Linked DNA regions of Caenorhabditis elegans. The protein of the gene in region 3 interacts with the protein of the main gene of each other region in a biochemical or structural test. Each region holds a gene or a part of one and is shown on either strand. Other genes may lie near its edges. The genes, in order: gly-11, C38H2.2, stn-2 and sru-39.

Evidence for each region.
Region 1: the proteins of stn-2 (region 3) and gly-11 form a complex in vitro, tested with the Caenorhabditis elegans proteins (one study listed by BioGRID).
Region 2: the proteins of stn-2 (region 3) and C38H2.2 form a complex in vitro, tested with the Caenorhabditis elegans proteins (one study listed by BioGRID).
Region 4: the proteins of stn-2 (region 3) and sru-39 form a complex in vitro, tested with the Caenorhabditis elegans proteins (one study listed by BioGRID).

Annotation. Positions count from the first base shown.
Region 1 is NC_003281.10:12,171,210-12,179,085, reverse strand, and holds gly-11 (Putative polypeptide N-acetylgalactosaminyltransferase 11), read left to right. Parts: upstream 1-1,840; 5' UTR 1,841-1,842; coding exon 1,843-2,076; intron 2,077-2,327; coding exon 2,328-2,846; intron 2,847-4,159; coding exon 4,160-4,516; intron 4,517-5,157; coding exon 5,158-5,219; intron 5,220-5,292; coding exon 5,293-5,707; intron 5,708-6,756; coding exon 6,757-6,864; intron 6,865-7,464; coding exon 7,465-7,587; 3' UTR 7,588-7,732; downstream 7,733-7,876. UniProt on the Caenorhabditis elegans protein: May catalyze the initial reaction in O-linked oligosaccharide biosynthesis, the transfer of an N-acetyl-D-galactosamine residue to a serine or threonine residue on the protein receptor.
Region 2 is NC_003281.10:10,380,205-10,385,868, forward strand, and holds C38H2.2 (Glycoprotein-N-acetylgalactosamine 3-beta-galactosyltransferase 1), read left to right. Parts: upstream 1-1,568; 5' UTR 1,569-1,581; coding exon 1,582-1,674; intron 1,675-1,791; coding exon 1,792-1,887; intron 1,888-2,133; coding exon 2,134-2,345; intron 2,346-2,688; coding exon 2,689-3,003; intron 3,004-3,052; coding exon 3,053-3,190; intron 3,191-3,818; coding exon 3,819-3,931; intron 3,932-4,097; coding exon 4,098-4,178; intron 4,179-4,435; coding exon 4,436-4,557; 3' UTR 4,558-5,129; downstream 5,130-5,664. Other genes in the region: C38H2.3 (Wsv136), read right to left, coding at 5,423-5,579. UniProt on the Caenorhabditis elegans protein: Glycosyltransferase that generates the core 1 O-glycan Gal-beta1-3GalNAc-alpha1-Ser/Thr (T antigen), which is a precursor for many extended O-glycans in glycoproteins.
Region 3 is NC_003284.9:7,675,969-7,682,601, reverse strand, and holds stn-2 (PDZ domain-containing protein), read left to right. Parts: upstream 1-1,982; 5' UTR 1,983-2,077; coding exon 2,078-2,113; intron 2,114-2,257; coding exon 2,258-2,330; intron 2,331-2,766; coding exon 2,767-2,900; intron 2,901-2,945; coding exon 2,946-3,009; intron 3,010-3,061; coding exon 3,062-3,127; intron 3,128-3,648; coding exon 3,649-3,745; intron 3,746-4,174; coding exon 4,175-4,238; intron 4,239-4,292; coding exon 4,293-4,441; intron 4,442-4,527; coding exon 4,528-4,696; intron 4,697-5,119; coding exon 5,120-5,245; intron 5,246-5,298; coding exon 5,299-5,364; intron 5,365-5,409; coding exon 5,410-5,574; intron 5,575-5,619; coding exon 5,620-5,712; intron 5,713-5,760; coding exon 5,761-5,880; intron 5,881-5,924; coding exon 5,925-6,050; 3' UTR 6,051-6,091; downstream 6,092-6,633. Other genes in the region: mfsd-8.5 (Major facilitator superfamily (MFS) profile domain-containing protein), read right to left, coding at 6,473-6,565, 6,612-6,633.
Region 4 is NC_003283.11:9,801,859-9,805,147, forward strand, and holds sru-39 (Serpentine Receptor, class T), read left to right. Parts: upstream 1-1,617; coding exon 1,618-2,058; intron 2,059-2,104; coding exon 2,105-2,263; intron 2,264-2,310; coding exon 2,311-2,414; intron 2,415-2,460; coding exon 2,461-2,749; downstream 2,750-3,289. Other genes in the region: F46B6.10 (uncharacterized protein), read right to left, coding at 54-170.

The DNA.
Region 1 (7,876 bases), on a different chromosome or scaffold from region 3:
CGTCGTAAAAACGAAGCCTTTGTGCGGTAATCGAATCACAAAATATTGCGATCAACGACGAAATGCTTCAACTGGTTCATTTTTCAAAATTTTTCTTTGAAATATTTTTATTTAAAAAAGTCGTCTTTCACTTATATGAGTCAATTGTCAGTTTACTGGATAAATTTACTAGTTTCAAATTTTTGAAAAATATTTACATTTTTATTTACAAAAAAGGCTTGTTTTGCCTAAAGGTGAAGTGGTGCCAAAACGCTAAAAAAAATTTATTATTTACTCTCAAAAAGTTACAATCACTCAGATTTTGTCACTATAATTTTTTTTGGAAGTCGACCAAAAAAATTACCTACATTTTTATACTCTACTTTTGTTTCAATTATTCGTATTAAAACATTGCAAAATTTCTTTGAATTTCCTCAAAATCTCATATTCTTCAAAATTTTGGTAGTTTGCCAAAACTTTGACCGGAAATTATGAAAAATCTATATGTTTCAAAGTTTTTTATTATGATATTCGGTCCTTTTGGATCATAATGCATTATCCACATATCGCGCATTAGATGCACAGAAATTCAAGTTCAAAGATTGAGAGATCATAGACATCTAGAGTACTCTGCCACTCTGCGTCTCTCCTCTCTCCGCCAGTTCAAATACCACTTTGCGCTTTCACTTTTTTTCGGAGTAAAACCTCAATCGGTTAATAAAGTAAACAAAATCCTCATCCCCCCATCGCTCTTTCTGTGTCCACTTGGGGGGTTCCTCCTCTTGTGTCCATCGGATTGTACATCGAGAGATCTGTCGGTATGTCTGCGTCTTCTCAATTTGTTTGATCTCTAATGTTCCTGTGTTCAGCTGTGTCATCAATCGTCCTTCTTTCCGCACTATTCCGTCCCGCTGCTTCCCACATACCTACCCCCCACTTCTCGAATATGTCCTAAAAGTTTTCCTTTTCACTTTTGTTTTAGAGATTTTTTTTGGGAAACAGTTTAGGGTAAATTTGAAAATTTTAGGCCAAAACTTAAGTTTGCAAAAAAAAAAGCAATTTCGGAAAAAAAAAATTTGAAAAAAAAATATTACTCTGGCGTAAAATTCTGCAAGTTTGCCCTAAAACCCAGGTCTCGGCAAGATAATTTTTGTGAAATTGCACGGGGTTCTGGATTTCCCTTCCATTGAATTTTTCGCGCTCCATTGATAATCACCCGCCGGACAACGCGTGGGAAAGTCGTGTACTCCACACGGACAAGTGCATTTAGTTTTACAATCGAGCCGCGACGCGACACGCAACGCGCCGTAAATCTACCCCAGATATGACCTGGCCTAGTTCGGCAAACTCTTCCATTTCAATTTTTGAGGGAAGCCAGAAATCGGCGAGATTTCAAAAAAAAAAAATATTTCCCAGACACAAAATTGAGGGATTTTGCCCCAAACCCAGGTCCCGACACAACAATTTTTTTCTAAATGCAAAAAGGTGTGCACCTTTAAAGAATACTGTAATTTCAAAATTTTCGGAATTTTCGTGGTTTTTTTCCATATTTTTTCTTGAACAAATATACACGAATTTCTGGCTTCCCTCATAAATTGAAATGGGAGAGTTTGCCGAATTAGGCCATTTTGGCTCGGCCATATCTGGGGTAGATTTACGGCGCGTTGCGTGTCGCGTCGCGGCTCGATTGTAAAACTAAATGTATTTGTCCGTGTGGAGTACACGAATTTTCCACGCGTTGTCAGGTAGACGATTGTCAATGGAGCGCAAAAAATTCAATGAGGAAGGCCAGAGCCCCGTGATTCTTTGATTTTTTTTATTTCAAAATTAATTACAAATTTCCAATTTTTAAATATTTTAGGAATGCTCCTACTTTGGAGGCGAAAAACAGTCGGATTAATATGCCTTTTTTCAATTCTTCTCACTATATATCTCTACGTCTCAATGTATCCAGAAGATAACGAGAGAGTATGGAATAGTGGAAACGCAGATATTCAGAGAAAACATGAAAAACTAAATAATGGAGGACAGGGACGACACGATTTTGATGATGATGAGGGCGCGGAAAAGGATGAAGAGGATGCGGTCGAGAAACAGGTATCTGAATGCTTTTAAGGGTATAAAGGGCTTCCATCATAAGTAGATTCAAGGCCTGGCGCCTGCCTGAAATCTGCCCGTCGCATGCCTGCATTTTGATGTGAATAACTTTCAAATTTCAAAAGTTCTCATTTCTCATTTCTTTCAATTTGTTGAAAATCAGATTAACAGCTTTTGGCCCGTATTGAGGCGAGAGGCAGGCAGGCATTGTAATACCTACTTTTGAATTTTCAATGTTCAAATTATTCCAGAACATCGCCGCTCCACCACTTCCAAAATCATTCACAACATTCCCGGATCGTTCAAAAGAAATTGAGATTGACACAGATTTGCTGGGGAAAATAAATGGAAAAGCCGAAGATGATCTACAAGTTGAAGGTTATAAAAAGTATCAGTTTAACGGATTACTAAGTGATCGAATTGGATCAAGAAGGAAGATCAAGGACTCTAGAAATGCCAGATGCTCTTCTCTAACATATTCCGACAGCTTACCAGCTGCCTCCATAGTTGTTTGTTATTTCAATGAATCACCTTCCGTGCTAATCCGAATGGTGAATTCAATTTTCGATCGTACAAAACCAGAACATCTCCATGAAATTCTACTTGTGGATGATTCAAGTGAATGGTCGAATGCAACTGATGAAGCTATCAAGTACAGAGAAAAACATATTATTCAATGGGAAAAAGTAAAGTTTTTGAAGACTGACAAGAATGAGGGATTGATTAGAGCAAAGATTTTTGGAGCAAGAAGGGCTAATGGAGAAGTTTTGGTAAGTTACTATTCTCTAATGTGAAGAGTAGGGCGATAGGCAGGCGCGGTTTCAAGGCATGCCTGAAGCCTGCCTGAAACTTTTTTCTACTATTCAAATTGAGTTTTCAAAATTCAAATTTAAGATTAAAAAATAGTTCACGTACGTATTAGCATGAAGCGTGTACTGAGGAAGGCGGAGGTCGCCTTAAAGTCAGACAGGTAGGCATTTTAACGCCTACATGGAGCCCTAGTAAAAAACAACGCTTTTCAAAGGAGCATAGATGTTTTAAAGCGTGTGGTGTCTTGAAAATTAGGCTTAGGTTTCGGCTTAGGCTTAGGCTTAGGCTTAGACAATGCTCTGGGGGGGGGGGGGGGGGAATTTCCAGAAAAAAGGAAAACCCCACAAAGATGAGAACAAATGTGGCATTCCGAAGTTGGGTAAAAAATCTCATGAAAACGACCAAAAAAAGACCAAAAAAAATATAAAAGTTGAAAAAAATTGTGAAAAAAACAAAATTTTTGTAGTTTTTGAAATCACATGAATTACCCACGTGGTTTCCACGTGGTTCCAGGCTGTCCCATTACGATTTGATCTACAAAAACTGCGGGAGTTTTTTGCGTAAAAAATGTGACGTCAGCAAGTTTTCAACCATACGAAATTAGGTTGAGAACTCTGCATCTCTTCTCCCGCCTTTTTTGTAGATCAACGAGACTTTTGGGTCGGGGTCGCGGCCCCGACCCACTTTTGGGTCGGGGTCATGTCCCCGACCCATTTTTCAAAATTTAACAGAAAATTATCAAAAACTTGAAAAATTATTTTTTGTCAAAAAACACGTGTAAAAGCTGAAAATTATAAAATTATCGTATTTTCATCAATAAAAAAAAACATACCCTACTTTCGATACAAACAAGCATAAGAGTCAACGTTTAAAAACACGATTTACAACAAAAAAACATGTTTTTTCAATTTCAGACATTTTCCGAAAATGGTTCGGGGCCGCGACCCCGACCCATTCAACAGGCCTAACCACGTGCATTATCAGTAGTCACGTAGTGTCAGAGAGTGTCTCATTTCGGCTAGATCTACATAGATCTACAAAAAATGCGGCAGAGTTCTCAACTGATTTCGTATGATTAAAACGAGCTGACGTCACGTATTTTTGGGCGAAAAATTCGCGCATTTTTTAGAGATCAAACGACAGCCTAGCACCTCGTGAGTAGTGCAAAAACCCTATTGAGTAAAAATTAAAGTAGGTATAGTTTTTACCAATTAAATTGTTTTCCACGTATAATTTTTATTTTCTCTAAACATTAAAAAATATATTTTTTCAGGTATTCCTGGATAGTCACTGTGAAGTAAACGAAGAATGGCTTCCACCACTTCTCGATCAAATCAAACAGAATCGCCGTCGTGTCGTATGCCCAATCATTGATATAATCGATGCAATCACTATGAAATACGTGGAATCTCCTGTTTGCACAGGCGGTGTCAATTGGGCAATGACATTCAAATGGGATTACCCCCATCGATCCTACTTTGAGGATCCGATGAATTATGTGAACCCGTTGAAATCGCCTACAATGGCTGGTGGTCTTTTTGCGATTGATAAAGAATATTTCTTTGAAATTGGAAGTTATGATGAGGGAATGGATGTTTGGGGAGCTGAAAATGTGGAAATTAGTGTTAGGGTAGGTTTCAAAGGGCTAACCCGAATAGTTTAAAGTATAAAATTGCCCTACAGGCCTCTAAAATTTTGTAAAATTAAAAAACCAATTTTTTACAAGGATTTCGTTCAAAATATTTACGCCAAACAGGTTGGCACTTAATTTTCAAAAAAAAATTCTAGTCAAAAATTGCCGGTTTATCGAATTTGCCGGAACATTTTATTTTCGGTAAATTGCCGATTTGCCGAAAATTTTTATTTTTTGTAAATTGCCGGTTTGCCGAATTTGGCAGAAATATTCAATTCCGGCAACTTGCCAATTTGCCGGAACTTTTAATTTTTGGCAAATTGTCGGTTTGCCGAGCTTGTCGGAAATGTTCAATTTCGGCAATTTGCCAATTTGCCGGAACTTTTCATTTTTGGCAAATTGCCGGTTTGCCGAATTTGCCGGATATGTTCAATTCCGGCAATTTACCAATTTGCCGGAACTTTTCATCTTTGGCAAATTTACGGTTTGCCGAATTGGCCGGTAATGTTCAATTCCTGCAATTTGCCGATTTGCCTAATCGGTCGGAAATTCTCAATTTCGGCAATTTGTCAATTTGCCGGAACCTCTCATTTGTGGCAAATTGCCTACTTTGCCGGAATACATATACTAAATTTCAGATATGGACCTGCGGTGGAGAACTTCTGATTATGCCGTGCAGCCGAGTTGGCCACATTTTCCGGTAAGTTTGTTTTCAATTTGCTGGCTTGAATTTGAAAGGTTTTTGATTTTGAAAAAAAAAAACTAAATTCCAGCCGCCAACGCCCATACGGAATAAAAACGGATTCAATGGGAAAAAATTCAGTCCGGCTGGCAAGAGTATGGCTTGATGAATATCTTGAAAATTTCTTCGAAGCTCGTCCAAACTACCGTACATTCACCGACTACGGTGATCTTACATCGAGAATCAGTCTACGTAGGAATTTGCAGTGTAAACCGTTCAAATGGTATTTGGAAAATATCTATCCTGAACTATTACCGGATAACACACCAAATCAGCTGAATAACCAAATACTTGTCGCTGGAAAGAAATATTTGATTAAAATGGCAAATGGAACACATTGTTTGAGCGCTGAAAACTCGCAGGGAAGGATTGCAAATGGGAATCGGGTGGAAATGAGAAAATGTAATCATATGGAGAGAATGCAACAATGGAAATACTCATCGACGGTTCGATTTTGTGTGCAAAAAATGTACAGAAAATGTGCATACAATGTGCAAAAAATGTGAAAAAATGTGCAAAAAATGTGCAAAAAATGTGCAAAAAATGTACAGAAAATGTGCATACAATGTGCAAAAAATGTGCAAAAAATGTGCAAAAAATGTACAGAAAATGTGCATACAATGTGCAAAAAATGTGCAAAAAATGTGCAAAAAATGTGAAAAAATGTGCAAAAAATGTGCAAAAAATGTGCAAAAAATGTGCAAAAAATGTGCAAAAAATGTACAGAAAATGTGCAAAAAATGTGCAAAAAATGTGCAAAAAATGTGCAAAAAATGTGCAAAAAATGTGCAAAAAATGTGCAAAAAATGTACAGAAAATGTGCAAAAAATGTGCAAAAAATTTGAAAAAATGTGCAAAAAATGTGCAAAAAATGTGCAAAAAATGTGCAAAAAATGTACAGAAAATGTGCAAAAAATGTACAGAAAATGTGCAAAAAATGTGCAAAAAATGTGCAAAAAATGTGCAAAAAATGTGCAAAAAATGTGCAAAAAATGTGCAAAAAATGTGCAAAAAATGTACAGAAAATGTGCAAAAAATGTGCAAAAAATGTGCAAAAAATGTGCAAAAAATGTGCAAAAAATGTGCAAAAAATGTACAGAAAATGTGCAAAAAATGTGCAAAAAATTTGAAAAAATGTGCAAAAAATGTGCAAAAAATGTACAGAAAATGTGCATACAATGTGCAAAAAATGTGCAAAAAATGTGCAAAAAATGTGCAAAAAATGTGCAAAAAATGTGCAAAAAAATGTGCAAAAAATGTGAAAAAATGTGCAAAAAATGTGCAAAAAATGTGCAAAAAATGTACAGAAAATGTGCATACAATGTGCAAAAAATGTGCAAAAAATGTGCAAAAACTGTTAATTTTTTGTACAGTTTATCCAAAATTTTTGACGTTTTTAATTTGTGGTTTTTTAGAAAATTAAAACTATTTTGGATTGTTTGAATCAAAATCCTCCCTATTTTGAATACCTCCTGATTTTAAAAATTATTTTCAGAATGAGCTACGACCGATGGGCTCATCCCGAATGTGCCTAGATTCCTTACGAGGGATTAGTGTCATTTTGTGTCATAATCAAGGAGCACATCAAATGTGGCAAGTTTCGGTAAGTCAAACTACATATTACGGTAACACAATTTTTTTTTCTGAGAATGCGTACTGCACAACATATTTGACGCGCCGCAAAATATGAAATATCTCGTAGCGAAAACTTAATGACTACTGTAGCGCTTGTGTCGATTTTTGAAATAAAGTTCGTTTTTATCAATTTTGATATTCTATCGATAAATAAATAATGTTAATTCATTTAAAAAATCGAGATCCCGTAAATCGACACTACAGTAGTCATTCAAAGGGTTACTGTAGTTTTCTTTTCGCTACGAGATATTATGCGCGTCAAATATGTTGTGCAGTACGCATTCTCGGAATTTTGTGTTCCTGTAATATGCAAATAATTTTCTTTGAAAAAAATGTTTTTGATATAATTTTTTTAACCAAAATTTAAACTTTTCTGAATCTTGAAAAAAAATTTTTGCATATTTTTTTAGCGTTATCAAATAACTAATAGTGAAAAAAATCAGAAAATTTTAAAAAAATTCATTAAAAATTTTTTAAAATTTTAAACTGTTCCCATATTGATAAGGCATCATAAAACAGCAATATTAACTCAAAAATTGGAAAAAAATTAAATTTAATTTTTTTCCAGAACGCCGGAAAGCTCTACAGTAGATCAGTGAATAAATGTGCAACTGGATCCAATGACGTCAGTGCGCTGAGCACTTTAAAATTCTGCTCTCTTGCGAATAGCTTCCAATTCGTTGAGCTATAAGTATTGATATTTTATTTTTGAAAAAAAAAAATTTTCTCAAAATTTTTTTTCTATGGGTACTTTTCTCTCCCTGAAACTCTAAAACTGGTCCAAAATTGCCTTTCCCTTCCCAAATCTTGTGATAATTTTAATAAATTTTTTTGCGTTTTTGTGAAAAATTCATTCTATAATTACAGACAAGAAGACGGTTACCGAAAAAAAAATTGGGAAAAATCGATTAAAAAGGAGATGAATGAGCAAGAGGGGAGAAAAATACAACAGAAAAAAAAAAATTGAAAATGACGAAAAA
Region 2 (5,664 bases), on a different chromosome or scaffold from region 3:
TGAAGTAATGATCTAGCAGGTAAACTTGTGACAAAATTAAAAAGCGAATTTTTTGGCTAGTTTTAAATTTTTACCAAATTTTGGCATTTTTCAAAATATTTACTGATTTCCAAAAGATTATTTATTAATTTGAAAATATCCATTTAACTTGTTTCTTTCAGTAATGGGGGTTACCAAAACCTGCAATTTCACGAAAAATCATAAGTTTAATTTTTACTTACCACAAAATTTTCAGCATTTAGGAACATGTTCGATTTGAAGCTTCCAATTTTAATTATAGAAAAACCAAAGGTAGTTGTTATTCTAGTTTTAATTCTCAAAATTTTGAAGACCAAGGTTTCAGTATACTTTTTTTTTAATTCTTATACTAAATTTCAGGAAATTTTTTTTTGCAGAAAAAAAAAGGAAAAAACATCTTGAGCACAAATATTTTAAATCTTTTGCCAACTCCCAAGCATTTTCACAATACTAATTTTTCATTGCCTGTTCTCCTCCTCATTTTCTTCTTCCTTCTTCTATTCCTACTCCAACACACTACGCTTCTCCTCCTCCAAATGTCTGTGATCTCTCTCATTCCACACACTATCTCGCATATTTGAATTCTTCTCATTGCCACAAGGCTCTCGTTTTCCCTTTTTCACTCTCTCTCTATCTCTCTTCGAATTTCCATATTTTCGGTACAAAACCTCTTTTCATGCTTGTGTTCCCACTTATTCAAATATTGTCGGTACGATACAGTACTGCAATCTACGTGACTCTGAAAAAGTTTTGATTTTGTTTTTTGCTTTTCTATTTTGGTTTTCTATGATCTTCTTATCAAAAAATAATCTTAAGTGACAGCATATTGTTCGAATTATTGCCTATATTTTAGAAGTTTAAAATATATTAATTTATTCAAAAACAAACCAAGATGTAAGCTTACAAAATAAGGGGGCAAAACATGGTGCATCGACTGAGATTGCTTCACGTATCTTTGTCTCGATGGTTTTTGGATTTTTTTCTCGAACACCTGTAAACTGATAAAATCTTCATTTTATGTTTTTTTCAATAGTTTTGTAGTTGAACTTATTTTTATATCTTTGAAAAATTAATATATAAGGTTCAAAGTTAACGTAGAAAAAAAAGCTACTTATCAAATTATTTGCACAATTTGAAAATTATAGAAATTCTATAAAATCGTGATTAAAATGAGAAGAATATTTGTTCACAGTTCAAAATTTTCAGCGAAACATTTTTGAAATATTTTGAAAACTATTGAATATTTTTTCCCTTTATTAGGGCTTTTTATAGCATAAAAATTGTATTTTTAAAGGCAACGCTCATTAAAATTTTTGAAGAGTCGAGAATATAGTTTTAATTTTTTTTTTTGAAAAGCTGGATTTTGAGATAATTTTTGAACTGAACTTTAAAAAAGCACCAAAAAATATGCTTATTTTAGTGAATTTTTCCCGTAGTAACCCCTACCCCCCCCCCCCCCTCCCCTTTAATTATTTTTCCTGTATCTGACGTGAATCTGCTCATTTTTCTAAACCTTCATAATAATTTTTGAAATAAATTCATTACTACAGATGTGCTGTTGATATGGCAAACTGGCCACGTGTTTCTCCTCTCGCCTACGTGGCGCTTGGCGTTCTTCTCGGTTTGACCATTTCAATAATATCTCAGACGGGAACGGTAGGTGCTTTGTTTTTTTTATGGGTTTTGTCTTACTTTAAAAAATACTATTTTTGAAAAATTTTCGAGCGAGACGTGCTAGCGTTCTACAATTTTCTGAGGAAATCAAATTTTCAGACAACCTACGACGCTGCCTCACGGATAGCCATACTACGAGCCAACCGAGGGGATCCACAAGTTGACGAGCACGATCATGCACATGGAAATGATCCGGTAAGGATTTTAAAATATAACTTGGAGTAGTCCATTCTACAAGTGCTACGCACTGCGAATCTGGGAGTCAGGTGCACTTCCTGGTGGTGCTCTCAGAGAGCTTTAGTTTAAGTCACGTTCGAGTCTGGGACTGTGGCCGATAATAAAATAAAAAATTCAGCTCGGAATTAGACTATAAAAAATATATCAGAAAGTTAATTGTGAACTACCGACAACCAACACCAAAACACAAATCCCAACTTTCAGCACGGAGACGAAGAAGTCGACGATCATCACGCGAACTTTGCGCCCGTCCAATTCCATTCCAACAACTCATCGCATAGCCATGATGGTGAAAGTCTGATAGCCGACGAAGTTGCGAAGAAGGTTCGCGTCTTCTGTTGGATTCTCACCGGAAAACAGAATCACGATAAACGCGCGAAACACGTCAAAGCCACCTGGGCCAAGCGGTGTAATAAGTAGGTTTTTTCAAAAAAATGATCGGTTGTTCACCGCGAAAACTGTTTTAGAAAATACAAATTGTCCACCTAAAGTATATATATATATATATATAAAATATATATATATATATATACATATATATATATATATATATATATTTATTCATTTATTTATTTACAATTTAATGAACTATGGTTCAAAAAATATTGAATGTGAACAAAAATGATTGGTTTTTAAGTGAAAATGGCAATTTTGGCAGAAAACATTGGTTTTAAATGGAATTTTTTATTGGAAATTATTGATTCTGTTAATATAAAAGTTATATATATTTTTTTTAGGAAAATATTGATTTGTTTTCAGGTACGTATTCATGTCATCAGAAGAGGATGCAGAACTCCCAGCCATCAACCTAAATGTCTCTGAAGGCAGAGATTACTTGTGGGCAAAAACAAAAGGAGCATTCAAATACATTTATGACCATCACCTGAACGACTACGACTGGTTCCTGAAAGCCGACGACGATACCTATGTGGTGATGGAAAATCTCCGGTTCATGCTATTGGCTCATTCACCGGATGAGCCAATTCACTTTGGATGCAAGTTTAAGCCATTCACACAGGGAGGATATCATAGTGGTGGAGCTGGATATGTGCTCAGTCGGGAGGCACTGAAAAAGTAGGATTTCTTCATTTGATTGTTGTCTAACGAGTATTGGTAATTTCAGATTCATTGAAGTAGCGCTGCCGGACAAATCGTTGTGCTCTCAGAATCATGGTGGAGCCGAGGATGCGGAGATGGGCAAATGCTTGGAGAAGGTTGGAGTGAAAGCTGGAGATTCCAGAGATGCCGATGGACATCATAGGTTAGTTGTGATATCTGGAAAATTTGGAATTTTATGTGCAAAAGTGATCTACTTTGATGGTTTATAACAAAATTGACTGAGGTATTACTGGACGATGCACTATGTGTTTCTCGTTTGCATTTTTCACTTGACATTTGCCAATTAAAATTTTTGGCGTTTCCAGTCGATGCACCATGTTTGCACTGTTCTTTTTGGCAGCTCCAATCTCAGTTTTCTTTAAGGATAATCATAAATTTCAAATTACAAAACTGTAAAACGATAACTAGTGAAAATTTGATCAGCTGCCAGCTGTTTGATAACATTAAAAATGTGTACTCCACGTGGAAAAGTACAAATTGTTTTTGGAATCGTCTATCAGCAGAGCGTGTTTTCTGACTTTTTTTCTGAATTTGGGTGAAATCTAACAGGAAAACGTAGTCAAAATTACTACAAAATGAAATTTAATTTGAAGTTTTTTTCGACTAATTTCATAAAATTTTTTAAACTTAAAAGTTTAAGCATAAATCTGCAGGGGGAGAGAGAGAGAGGACACCAAAAACATTTTTTGATGAAGCTTGTTCATTAAAAAGCTCTTTTATGAGTTGAGCAACTGGGTTTTCTCTTCCCGCGAACACGAAGTAATTTTCAGATTCATGCCTTTCGTGCCGGAACATCACTTGTCGCCTGGCCACGTTGACCCCAAGTTCTGGTTCTGGCAGTACACTTACTACCCAATGGATCAAGGACCTACGTGTTGCTCTGGTTAGTTGCACTTTTTTTCGAGATTTTCTTTGGTGCTGATCTTCCTACACTGAACCACCGTGCAAACAATGCCCTTCCCGAAAGATTGAAAAAACTTTTTTGAAGAGATCAATTGTTTTCTGCATGCAATGCTATTTGCTCAATAATCTTCCATTATTGTTTCCAGATTACGCAGTCTCCTTCCACTACGTCAACCCGAACTTGATGTATGTGCTCGAGTATCTCATCTATCACTTGAAGCCTTTCGGTGAGTGAAATTGGGGACTCAGTGGCCGAGAAATGCAAAACTCGGCCACGGCCACGCAGGGAAAATTGAAACATTTTAGAACACAGAAAAATAGTTATAAAAAAATTTTAGAACACAGGAAAATAATTATTTTTTAGTAAGAATCTTTTTTTTTTTGATTGAAAAATATTTTGACTCGAATTTTTAATAAAATTTTACAAAATTCGGAAAGAGCTACAATTCCACATTTTAGCCTATACAATTTTTCAATTATTCAGGTATCGATCGCGCGATTCGAGTGCCAAAGAACGAAACAATAATCCATACGGCTTATTCGATCTCTCGATCCGAACGTGGACAAGACGATGCGTTCCGGGATCGGCCGGAAGTTGCTGTATAAGCAAATTGTTGTTTTTCTTGCAGTCTATGTTGTTAGATATCATTTACCGACTTTTTTGTCCAATACCCGGGTGATTTTCTTCCATTTTTTATTTGTTTTTGTTCCAACTGCTTCGCTTGGGCTTCTCTCTTTCCTTCTCTCTCTACGTCAATACATTCCATGACTGTTCTCCACCCTAATTGCCGCCTCTTCTGCATTTCTTTCCTCTTTCTCAAGTCATTTGAATTACGGTAGACATTGCGCGTCAAATCTGATGTATTGGAAATAATTTTCGATGTTTATCAATTGATCAATATATTTGAAAGCCGTCCTGTCTACCAAGGTTCGACTCCCAAAGTGTTTAGTGAATTGTTTTTTGGATATTTTAGTTTAAAATTTCTGCTTACGGGAATCATCAGAGTTTTACATGTAAATGTGGTTTTTTTAATTCAATTTGAAAGACGATCGGCCGATCACACCCTGTGCCTTTTCCAATGTTTTGTTTGTTTTTTCTAGTCAATCTTGTTCATTTCTCTCTGTGTGTGGAATTTTTTCTTTTGAAGAAAATTTATAAAAATAAATTGGCTTTATTATTAACAAACATTGTGCACATGTGCAAGAAAAAAGAGTGAAACTACAGATTTTGATTGAGCAAAACGAATATTTACACCGTATGTGGAGGGGGGTTTCAGACGAGAGAAAATTATGTGACTGGAGATAAAAGTAAGGTAAAGCTTACAAATGCACTCTATTGCTAGAAAAAAGTTGTGGTCTCAGCGGGTATCAAAAAATTGCCAATTAACAAAACATTAATAATATTATTTTCAATTATCTTTCAAACAGACTACACAGGTTAACGTTAGCGATAGAGCGCGTTTACACCATATTAGGCGAATGTGACAAGAAGGAGCATAAAAACGACAGCCGTGAAAACTAAGAGGGCTGCTATAATTGCAACCATCAAAGAACGACGATGGGTTTCTGGCATTGAACGGACCGCTGTCGGGAGTACTGTAATTGGTGACGCGTCGTCTTTTGGAGGGCTGAAAATTGGAAATTTTATTTTTCAAAAAAAATCGAAAGTTTGTACTATACTAGGTCTTTTGAAATGAACTGGGATTAAACAAC
Region 3 (6,633 bases):
GCGAGAGAAGAGCAATTTCGGACTTGTCACTGACGAGTAAAGCAAAAATCAATAACGTGTAAGCAAACGAGGGAGAGAGTGTCTGAATCTGGTGCTCAGCATGACACAGAGAGAGGAAAAGAGAGAAGAATTGGCAACACGAAGAGGAAGAGCATGCCAAATAAGAATGTTTAACATTTTGCATTGATTTTTTCTATTTTTAAGAAAGTTATTATAAATAAAACGAATATTTAGAAAACTTATTAGTTTTCTTTGAGTAAATTTAATTAGTTTTTTTTCTTCAAAGACCACATAACCAATTTTTCTGAAAAAGTTATGTTTAGATTTTCCAATGATAAAATACCTTGTTGACAAAATTTAAAAATAACAATTGATATCATCAACAAGGAACAGTCGATACATAGACACATTAGGGATTAGGACCGTAGACACCACGGGGACTGTACTGCGTACTATGCGCTGGAAATGACGCGCAATGGAGTGCAATAGAGACCAGCATATAACTATTTCAATGAAAATGGGAGATTACTTATTTAATAATCGGTATTTAGGTTTTATAATCTCACATTTTAAAAAATAAACTAATTTTTCCATCAAATTTTCCATATTAATAATACGTGATACACGTGTTCCTCTTCAAGTTTAAGTGGTTTTCCAAGAATAAAAATGCAAAAGGATTTCGAACATTTCCATTTCTGATAAATTAAAAAGGTGTTATGATTCACAACAAGGTTTAATAAATAACAAAATACGTGCGTACTTTGAAAACAGTTATATATATCTAATTTTTAAAATTAAAGTTCATGTATTTTGTCGTTTAATTTTTGACACTATATGAGCGGGTTTAAACAGTTTTCCTACTGAAGGTACTCCGTTTTTAATTTATATAACAAGAAGAGCTACAAAACACTTTGTGGTTTGTTTCAAGCAGAGAAAATGTGATCACACATATGTACTCAAAGAAAAAATCACAATTTTAGTCTCTCTTGATGACTCAGTTGACTAAAGGCAAAAAAGTCAGCCTCGTTTGCACAACAACGATTGTGAAATATATTCCGTTGCCTTTCTTTTTTGCCAGTTGCGGAACATTTTCATATGTGTTTGCGCCGCCGAAAATCGTCCATCATTCGAAATATGGAAAGCGAAACGATGTGTCTTTGTATCTTCAAAACGGCATTTCTCAATTGAAGCTCAATGGCTCATTGACATTCGAAGTGAAGACACAGTGTAGGGTCACGGCGCTAAAATGCGTGTTTTCCCATTGTTTTAATGGGGAAAAAGGACAATAAGAGTAGAAAACGGCAATTCGTCAAAATGATTGATTATATTCATCAATTAGTTTGCAGGAAACAACATGCAGAAATGTGGAAAAGATTTCAGTGAAAGTTTCAATTAGTTTGGAAAATCACTAACTGTTGAATATGAATAAACAAATGGAGAAAAAACAGGGATGTTAAAATTTTTATCAAAAGTCACTCCTCAAAAAGGTATTCCGTTGCGGGGAATCGAACCCCGGCCTTATGGGTGAGAGCCATAAATCCTAACCACTAGACCACAACGGAGATGGGTGAGCAATGGTCGCTGCTTAATGATAAGAGTACAGAAAACTTTGTGACTGTGAACAATGTGTAGAAAATTTTATCAGTCAGAAAGCAGCACGCGAAGAAATTGAGAAAAATGATGGTTGCCTTTCCGGCAATCTCTTTGGCAACAGTTCCAGAATTTCAGCTCTTATTTTATATCTTTTAATCAGTTTTCAGACTATGATCAAAACTTTGTTGGATGTTAAAAATATTGGATGACTCGTTTCTGATATTAAAAATTCAAACCAGCTGTTTATCATCTTGTTTCTCACTTCCTTCAACTGCTCGTTTTTGCTGTTCGTCTATGATTCCGCATCTTTTGCTGTTGTAATGTGTGTATTACACCGCTTCCGATGAGCAGATAGGATAGATTGGAGCTCGGGCGCTTCAAAGTTGACTCGTGTGAGGTGGCACACACACACGCATCTTTAGTCCCTCTAGTTCATTGTCCTTCATTTTTGCTACATTTTATATTCTCTGTTAAACAAGGCTAAATGTCCGTTACGAAATCACACCATAATCTGGATGTGGTAAGTTTAGCAAATATTATGAAATTGTTGGTTTTTAATGGGCATGTTTAATTTTTGTATAGTACATGCCAGCAATCTGAAGTCTTATGAAATACAAGACTTGACAATATGTTAAATGAAACAAATTCCAACAAAAAATTTCAGGTTCATCATGGAATAGTACTCATTAGTGATGGGAATGCCACTTCTAGATCGTCACGACTGCTTTTATCCAAAGGTAAGAGGAAATTAAAATGGAACTTGAAATAGAAATAAAATGGAACCATCAATTTTTGAATGTATGCATTTTTTCCACACTTCTCACATGGGGCCTATAAAAGCCGCACAATTTGCGAAAGCGAGAAGGGCCTGAAAAACGAGGAGAAATGGGGGAGAAAAACGAAAATAAAAGAAAAGTGTGCAATGACGGCCTCAACTAGTCGTGTGAAAACTTTATTAGGCAGCTCATGGCGCGGAAATTGGTGCCTAGCCTACAATTGAGTTGTTGAGAAAAGAGGAAAAAGCTGTCAGGGTCCCGCATCTTCGTTTTTGTCTTGCGCTTCCTTTGCGCTTTTAAAACTCCAAAAAAAATTTGGTAGAAATGACATGAAAATGGCATGAAAACTATATAAAAAGTCATCCAAAAAAAGAAATATCGTAACATATTCTTGCAGATGAGTTATGTATTCAAGTCATTGACGATGGTACCGCGGAGCCCGAAGAAGCCAAAGAAACATTTCTAGAAAATGCAACTCGGCAAGTTGTCATAGTTAAAAAACCAGACTCGGGGTTCGGATTGTCTATTAAAGTGAGCAATTGAACAGGACCGGTGTAATACTTAGAACTATTGCAGGGAGGATCAGAAAATGCACAAAACATGCCAATAGTAATCTCCAAAATATTCAAAGGATTGCCAGGTAAATCGTCAGATTTAAAATTTTAACATCTAGAAAAATACTTAAATTACAGCCGACGAATGTGGAGAGCTATTTATTGGAGATGCTATCGTAGAAGTAAATGGAATATCCATAGAAGGTGAGGGAAGAAAAAGAACGAGTAGTCTTCATTAGTCCAATCATTTGGTTCCCCTCTGGGAAATAGGAACTGAAAACGAATGAGCGTTCATAGCAAAGACCAAAAAGTTAAACTAGTTTTTTTTTAAATAATAGAAATAAAATGGAACCATCAATTTTTGAATGTATGCATTTTTTCCACACTTCTCACATGGGGCCTATAAAAGCCGCAACAAAATAACTTTTGGCAATTCACGTTCAAAAATTTAACATAAAAATTTAAAAAAAAAAAACAAAGTTGTATTGAATAATAAAACAAGTCATATGCTGTACTTTCCCTATTATACTTGCTCCTTCTCTGTTGGATGGGTTATATATGCCGTCCTAAGTTTCATAACAAATCAATTTTTTTTCAGTTGCCAATTAAAAAAAAACCAAAAAGAACTAACTAAGATATAAGCTGTCAAAATCAAGCAAGGGCATGATGGTACAAGTCTAATAGGGAAAAAAAACGGTAGACTATTTTTTCATATCAACTTCCAGGTCAAAGCCACGACGAAGTGGTTAACATGTTAAAATCAAGCGGTGACCAAGTAACTTTGGGTGTCCGCCATTTCACCCATATGACGCCGTTTCTAAAGTGAGTTTGGTTTTGTGGCGAAAAAAATTTGCTACTCAAGTCAGTCCCATGCATCGCCTTTCTTCCTATTTCCCGCTTCCTTTTTCGATTTTCGACGTGGCGTTACTTTGGCGAGAGGACACACAAAAAAAGTATGGTTGAAAAGAGTGGAAGAAAGAAGCATGAAAAAGAAGGAAAAGGACGAAGAAACATGAGTAGAAACAACTGATGGATTAGAGTGTAGAAGAGCTCTGCGCAGGGGGTGGTTTGAGGCAAAGCACGCGGAGCCTTACGCCATCCTCCCTGATGAATGCTTTTCACTGCATTTGAAATTCAAAAATGTGCGCAGTAGGCAAACTGCCGAGGGACACACAATGTTTTGCGCAGAGTATATAGTTGCATTTGATTTTATATCGGGGTACCAGAGACGTTGGAGTGACTACTTTTCAGACCAGCACAGTCATTGCAACCCGATGGAACATTGGATCAGCTGTTTGATGGAAGAAGTACAAGGGTAAGAAAAAATCCTAAGCTTCCATTTTGAAATTATTTGGAGTTTTTGCTTCAGAGCCACAAAGCGCAATCCGAATCCCGACTCTCCGACTCGAAATGGCAACAACATATTGACGGACGGGAAAAGAAATGGAAAACGTTGACGTCTCTTCCGTTGGCAATGGCTTATGTCACCAGATACCTCTGGGGAACCGACAATATCAGGTTTGCTTCAGATTTTATTTTCGTAATGAATACATACAACGGGGAGCTTTTTGTATTTCTTGTTCAACAAAACTAAAATTTTACAGGACAAACTCTTTCGAAGTTCGTGCAGTAGATGGAAGATCGTCGGGAATTGTGCATTGCGAAGATACATCGGCGCTGGAACAATGGATCTCGCACATCAGCAAACATATATTGTCGCTCAACCAAAAGAGTATAAAAATGAGCAACAAGTACTTGCATCAGAGTGAGCAGGTCAGTATGCAATGATATGACTTCAATGTTTGGTAGGCACGTTTGGTTGCCTTGAAACATCTGTTAAAAATACGACATCGGAATTAAAAATTAAATGTTTTCAGCACACATCAGATTAATGATCCAACATTACTGACTATGAAGCCGTTTTAGGTGTCCAGAGAATTATGGGTCGAATGATGTATTTTCTAAAAGCTAATACAATGGAAATTACGAATTCAGAATAAAACTTTGCTTAATCTAATTTTGAGGCAATTATTTTTGCTTTTGTCTGCTCGATTTAGGATACTTGATGGAAACATTGTTGTTTTTAAAGCCGACTATCTTGTTGAAAATTGAATATTCAAGAAAATAGTCAACTAGTAAATCTACTAACATTATGCACGGTTTTTGCAGTAAATAGTTTAAATTAATGTTTTTTAGATCAGCTACATTGGTTGGGTGAATGAATACTTGAATGATGATGATCAAGAAGAGCTTAAAATCCGCTGGCAACCTCGCTTCTTGATTTTAAAAGGCAGTGATGTCTGCTTCTTTGATGTTCCGCCGGTATGTTTTTTTTTTAATTTTTGAACTTATTTTACATGATTCTTTTTTTCCAGCTAAACTCTGAAGATCTCAACAAATGTGTCTACTTGTACAAATGTTATGATGTTGCTGTAAAACAGGTAGATTATCAAAAAAAGTAGTAATTCTAGAAGGGATATCTACAGGTCCCAAACTCTAGTCCACGAAGAGATAAGCGTGACAATTGTTTCTTAATAGAAACTCCATTGCAAGTTCCAAATCACTACCTGTCATTTGAAGCTGTATCTGCATTTGAACTTTTTGAGCAAGCATATTACCGAACCGTATACAATACCATTTCCCAAATGCAGGCAAGTTTATTTAAATTATTCAACAACAATAACAGTTAACTTTAGTCCCGAACGTTTGCCTGTAACTTTGAAGGAAGAGCCAGTGGAATCGTTTTTGACATTAAACAGGGAATTAGTCTATATGATATTCCTACTAAGGTAATACTATTTCTAACTGTTATTGATATTGATACAATTTATTTCTAGAGTTACATTTGGCAATATCGGTTCAGAGATTTACAAGCCGTTGCTGATGATGGCAAACTGTGTGTCCAGTTATCGTTCAATGATGATCGTTCATTGAATTCCGATAGAATAGAAGTAAAGGTTAGTGGTTTTGCAACTTTCCGAGTCAAGTACTCAAATTGCAGGACATCGAATGCGAAGATGTGGTAACAGTTGTATTCAACCTTCATTCCTTTGTTCTTGCCAGAATTGTTTCCACTGATCCAGACTATTTGAAGGCTAATCGTTATGTTGGAAATGCAGAGGACTAATGATTTTTGATTTTCAAAGCATAAATATTTTTTTGTTGTTGTTCAACTGTTGTTTAAAACAAAATTTGAATCATGAGTTAAAGCTAGGTTTTCAACATTTTTTTATTTCAAACTAAAAATAAAAACAATCTGCATGCCGTAGTCTACCTGTAACTTATGGACCAGTTTTGAGTCATATGCAAAAAATCAAAATTTCATTGAAAACATATGACTTTTTTCAGGTTTCTGGCACAATCAAATTGTCAATTTCAAAAATCCTTTATTTCAATAATCATAAATTCTAATTCTCAAAGAATTATATCGATAACAAGATAAAGACACGCGATGAGTCAAAATCAACCGGTTTCTGTTTGCCGTAATATTGCACTTACAACAGTACTCGAAAACTCAAACAAAGGTGAAATAACAAAGTAAAGAGTTGCCTAATTCAAAGGCTCAATCTTCTTCGTCTCATATTTCTCGAATGGAACCATTCTCACACGCAATATAATCCACGCACTAATAAGGACTACCAGCTGAAATCGTTTGGGTTTCTATTGAATTAACTGCAGCAATACTCACGTTCACAATTAGTATCAACCAT
Region 4 (3,289 bases), on a different chromosome or scaffold from region 3:
AATTATTCAATTGCGAAGTTCAAGTTCTAAACTATGAAACAATATTGAATTACCCGTGGAGTGACTTCCTCTAAAGTAGCCTTCTTGTCCTTCTTCAATTTTGCACAAAAAACGAGAAAGCTATTACATGATATTGCAAAAAGCATCGAAATAACAATTATAATGATCATTATGTTGACAGTTGAATTGTATGCTTGACCAGATGAAGAAAGTAGAAATAATTTTTCTAGTATAAATTGACCTTATCATTTTTAAACGTTGTTCTAATTAGCGGTAAACAAACTTTAGAAAAACGCGATTCAAAGTTAAAAAAAAATAGAGACCAGATGTCTACGCGAATTATTTTTTCAATCATTAAAAGAATAATTTTTTTCGTAAAATATTTACATTCCAGAAGTTCTGAGAAATTCAATTTTTGATCATTAGAATAATTAATTCGTACCACTCTTCATCAAGTTGTGAATGAAACAATATCGAAAAAGTGAAAATGCTGAATTCAAGCGGAAAGAAACCAAACTTGGGTCAGACTAAGAAGACCAAGAAGGCCACAAAAGTTCAACTGATCATTCTTTTCGTTTTGCTCAAGCATTGAAAGATGTCAGAAATATGATAGTTTATTTTGTATAATTTTTTCATGCGATTTTTCCCCATTTCTTTTGCGTCTGAAATTTTCTACTCAACTGGCATTTCCTTCAAACTAAAAATCATTTGATTCGCAGATTAGAGCAACGCACCCAAAAACTTATTTTTTGCAGACTTGTTTGTCTCTGCAGGAAAAAACATTATTTGTTGGGGCGTCGCATTAGTTTACCAATATATTTGTACCCAAATGTTTTTTAAACAAGAATAGTACTTTAGTTTAAACATGAAAATCCAGAAAAAAACTAGTTATTTGAAGGAAAAACCATTGAAATCACTTACCAAAAACCTGCGAAAGAGCGTTTTGAGCTATGTTGAAAAAATCTGAAACTTTGTTCGCCGAATTCTATTTAAAAATTTAGGTTTTTTCGAAATATAAAAATTCTAGAAAACACCTCAAACTGTTGCTAATCTTTTAGAATATCTTGCAATCGAAAATCGACAATAATTGATTCTGATGAAAAACTTTTTTTTCCGATGTTCCAAAAAAGCAAACTCTTCTGCAGTTAATTTTTGCGGTCACCAATTATTAAGGTTTTCTTTCAAATATCGAAGGCTCCAACTGGCTGTCGAATATTCAGCTGAAATACTTGCTTTGCTAGTCCATAATTTCATTTACCAGGAACAATCATTCGTCACTTGAATAAAAACGCGTAAACACTTTTAATTCTTATAAGTGAATTCAATTTCACTCATTTTCTGCTATTATCCACATTCCAGAAACAGGAGACCAGACAAGACTTCTTATTTTACACTTTTTCACATCTTTCGCATGTACTACGAATTTCCCGAAATACATGACCTTAGCACCTAAATAATCCGGTATATATGTAAGTATAAAAGATGCAAGTTTAAAAATTGATCTTTTGCCAATACACGTACTGCTCAATGAAATTTTATGAATAGCTGGCAATTAAAGCGCCTACTTTCAGTAGACATACGTCAACCACACTTTTCATTCTTCGAATAACTTCCAACATGTCTGTTTATGGACATATACCAATTGATAATAAGACTGAATATTCCAATTTTACATATTCATTCAATGTTTGGACTGTTTTCGCAGCAGTCACTTGTACATATACACTGTTTTCGTTTTGGATTACACTAAAAATGTGCATTTTTTATTTGAACAATAAAAATAACGAAGAAGTGAAAAGAGGACTTCGTCTTGATGTTTTTCGATTGTTTCTTTTGATGCAAGTATGGAAAGAATTTCATGTTTTGATGGATTTTCTGATAGTTCGAATTCCACTTACATCATTATTTACCAGTTATTGCTATCAATCGAAGCCAGTTCTACTTTTAAAAATATTATCATTGATGTTCACAGGAGTTGTATATACATCTCATTCATTAACTCTTGCGTTTTGCATTCAGAGAGTTGCATTATTATATGCTCATGAATATCACAAAGATGTATGTCAACTCATGAACCTCTAGTGTTAATTCATTTCATTTTCAGAAAATTGCAAAAATATTTGATATTGTCAACCCTCTCATTATATTTGTTGGGCATGGTTTTGGAATACCGTTCTTTTTTGCATCAAGCTCTTGTTATCAAATGGACGAACCATTTCCATTTGGAGCAATTGTAATCACAGCTCTACGCCGGGATATGGTGGTTCATAGAAAATCCAAAAGTTAATCGTAATGCAAGTATTTTTTCAGAAAACTTACACTATTATTTACTCAATTTTTTCTAATACAAATATAACACTGACGATTATATTGACAATCATGATGTTTGTAAAGCTGTATCATAAACGGAAGATGTAAGTTAAAATTCCTTATAATAAATTTTACACAAAACTTTTCCAGAACTTCCGAGTTGCGCCGACCAGTAGATTTAAAATCAGAAAAAGTATTAACAGCTACAATGATTCTAATTCTTCTCCCTGTTGTGGTTCCATCAATTCTGTCAATTGCAAATCTTTTTTCTTCAAATTTATATGCTTATATGTTTCTCCTGCGTTGCATTGCATTGGATGTCCGAGCTCATATTGTTTCTTGTTATTTCTATTATACGCATTACATTTTTAAAAAGAAAAACCGTAGTACTAAAATTCGAAACGACAGCACTATTCGAACAGTGTCAACATATTTTTAATGTGTAATAAATTATTTTGAATTTGTCTTTTTTCGGATGAAAAAATATTTTTTTTGGGTTCAAAAATTTCAAAGCACAAGTTTTTAATGTGATAATAATTTTCTGGATACTAGTTTTTATAGTGCATTCATATCACAAAAAGTGAAGTGAAAAAGTTAAAAACGTTGTCCAATTTTTTTCTTTAAGTTTTCGGGGAAACGTTTCAAAACTTTACTTCATGGAACGCATTGCTTGCTAAGCAATTTACCGCAATTCGTGTAATATATATTGTTCAATGAACACCATTAAAGGAAAATAAATTTTCATGAAAACTCGCAGGATAGTCAGAAAGTCTTGCCTTTTGGCTGCAAAAGGTAGAGTGAGCATTCAGGATCTCCTGGAATACATGGTTTTTCATCTAACAAATTTTTGAAAATTCAAAGAAACAATTATAACCAAACGTGACTATTTGAAAATCAAAGTTAAGTAAAATCAAAGTCGAGAGTCACTAGACTGCTTGCTTTGAACATTTATTCATTATCAATTTTAAAGCAACTACAA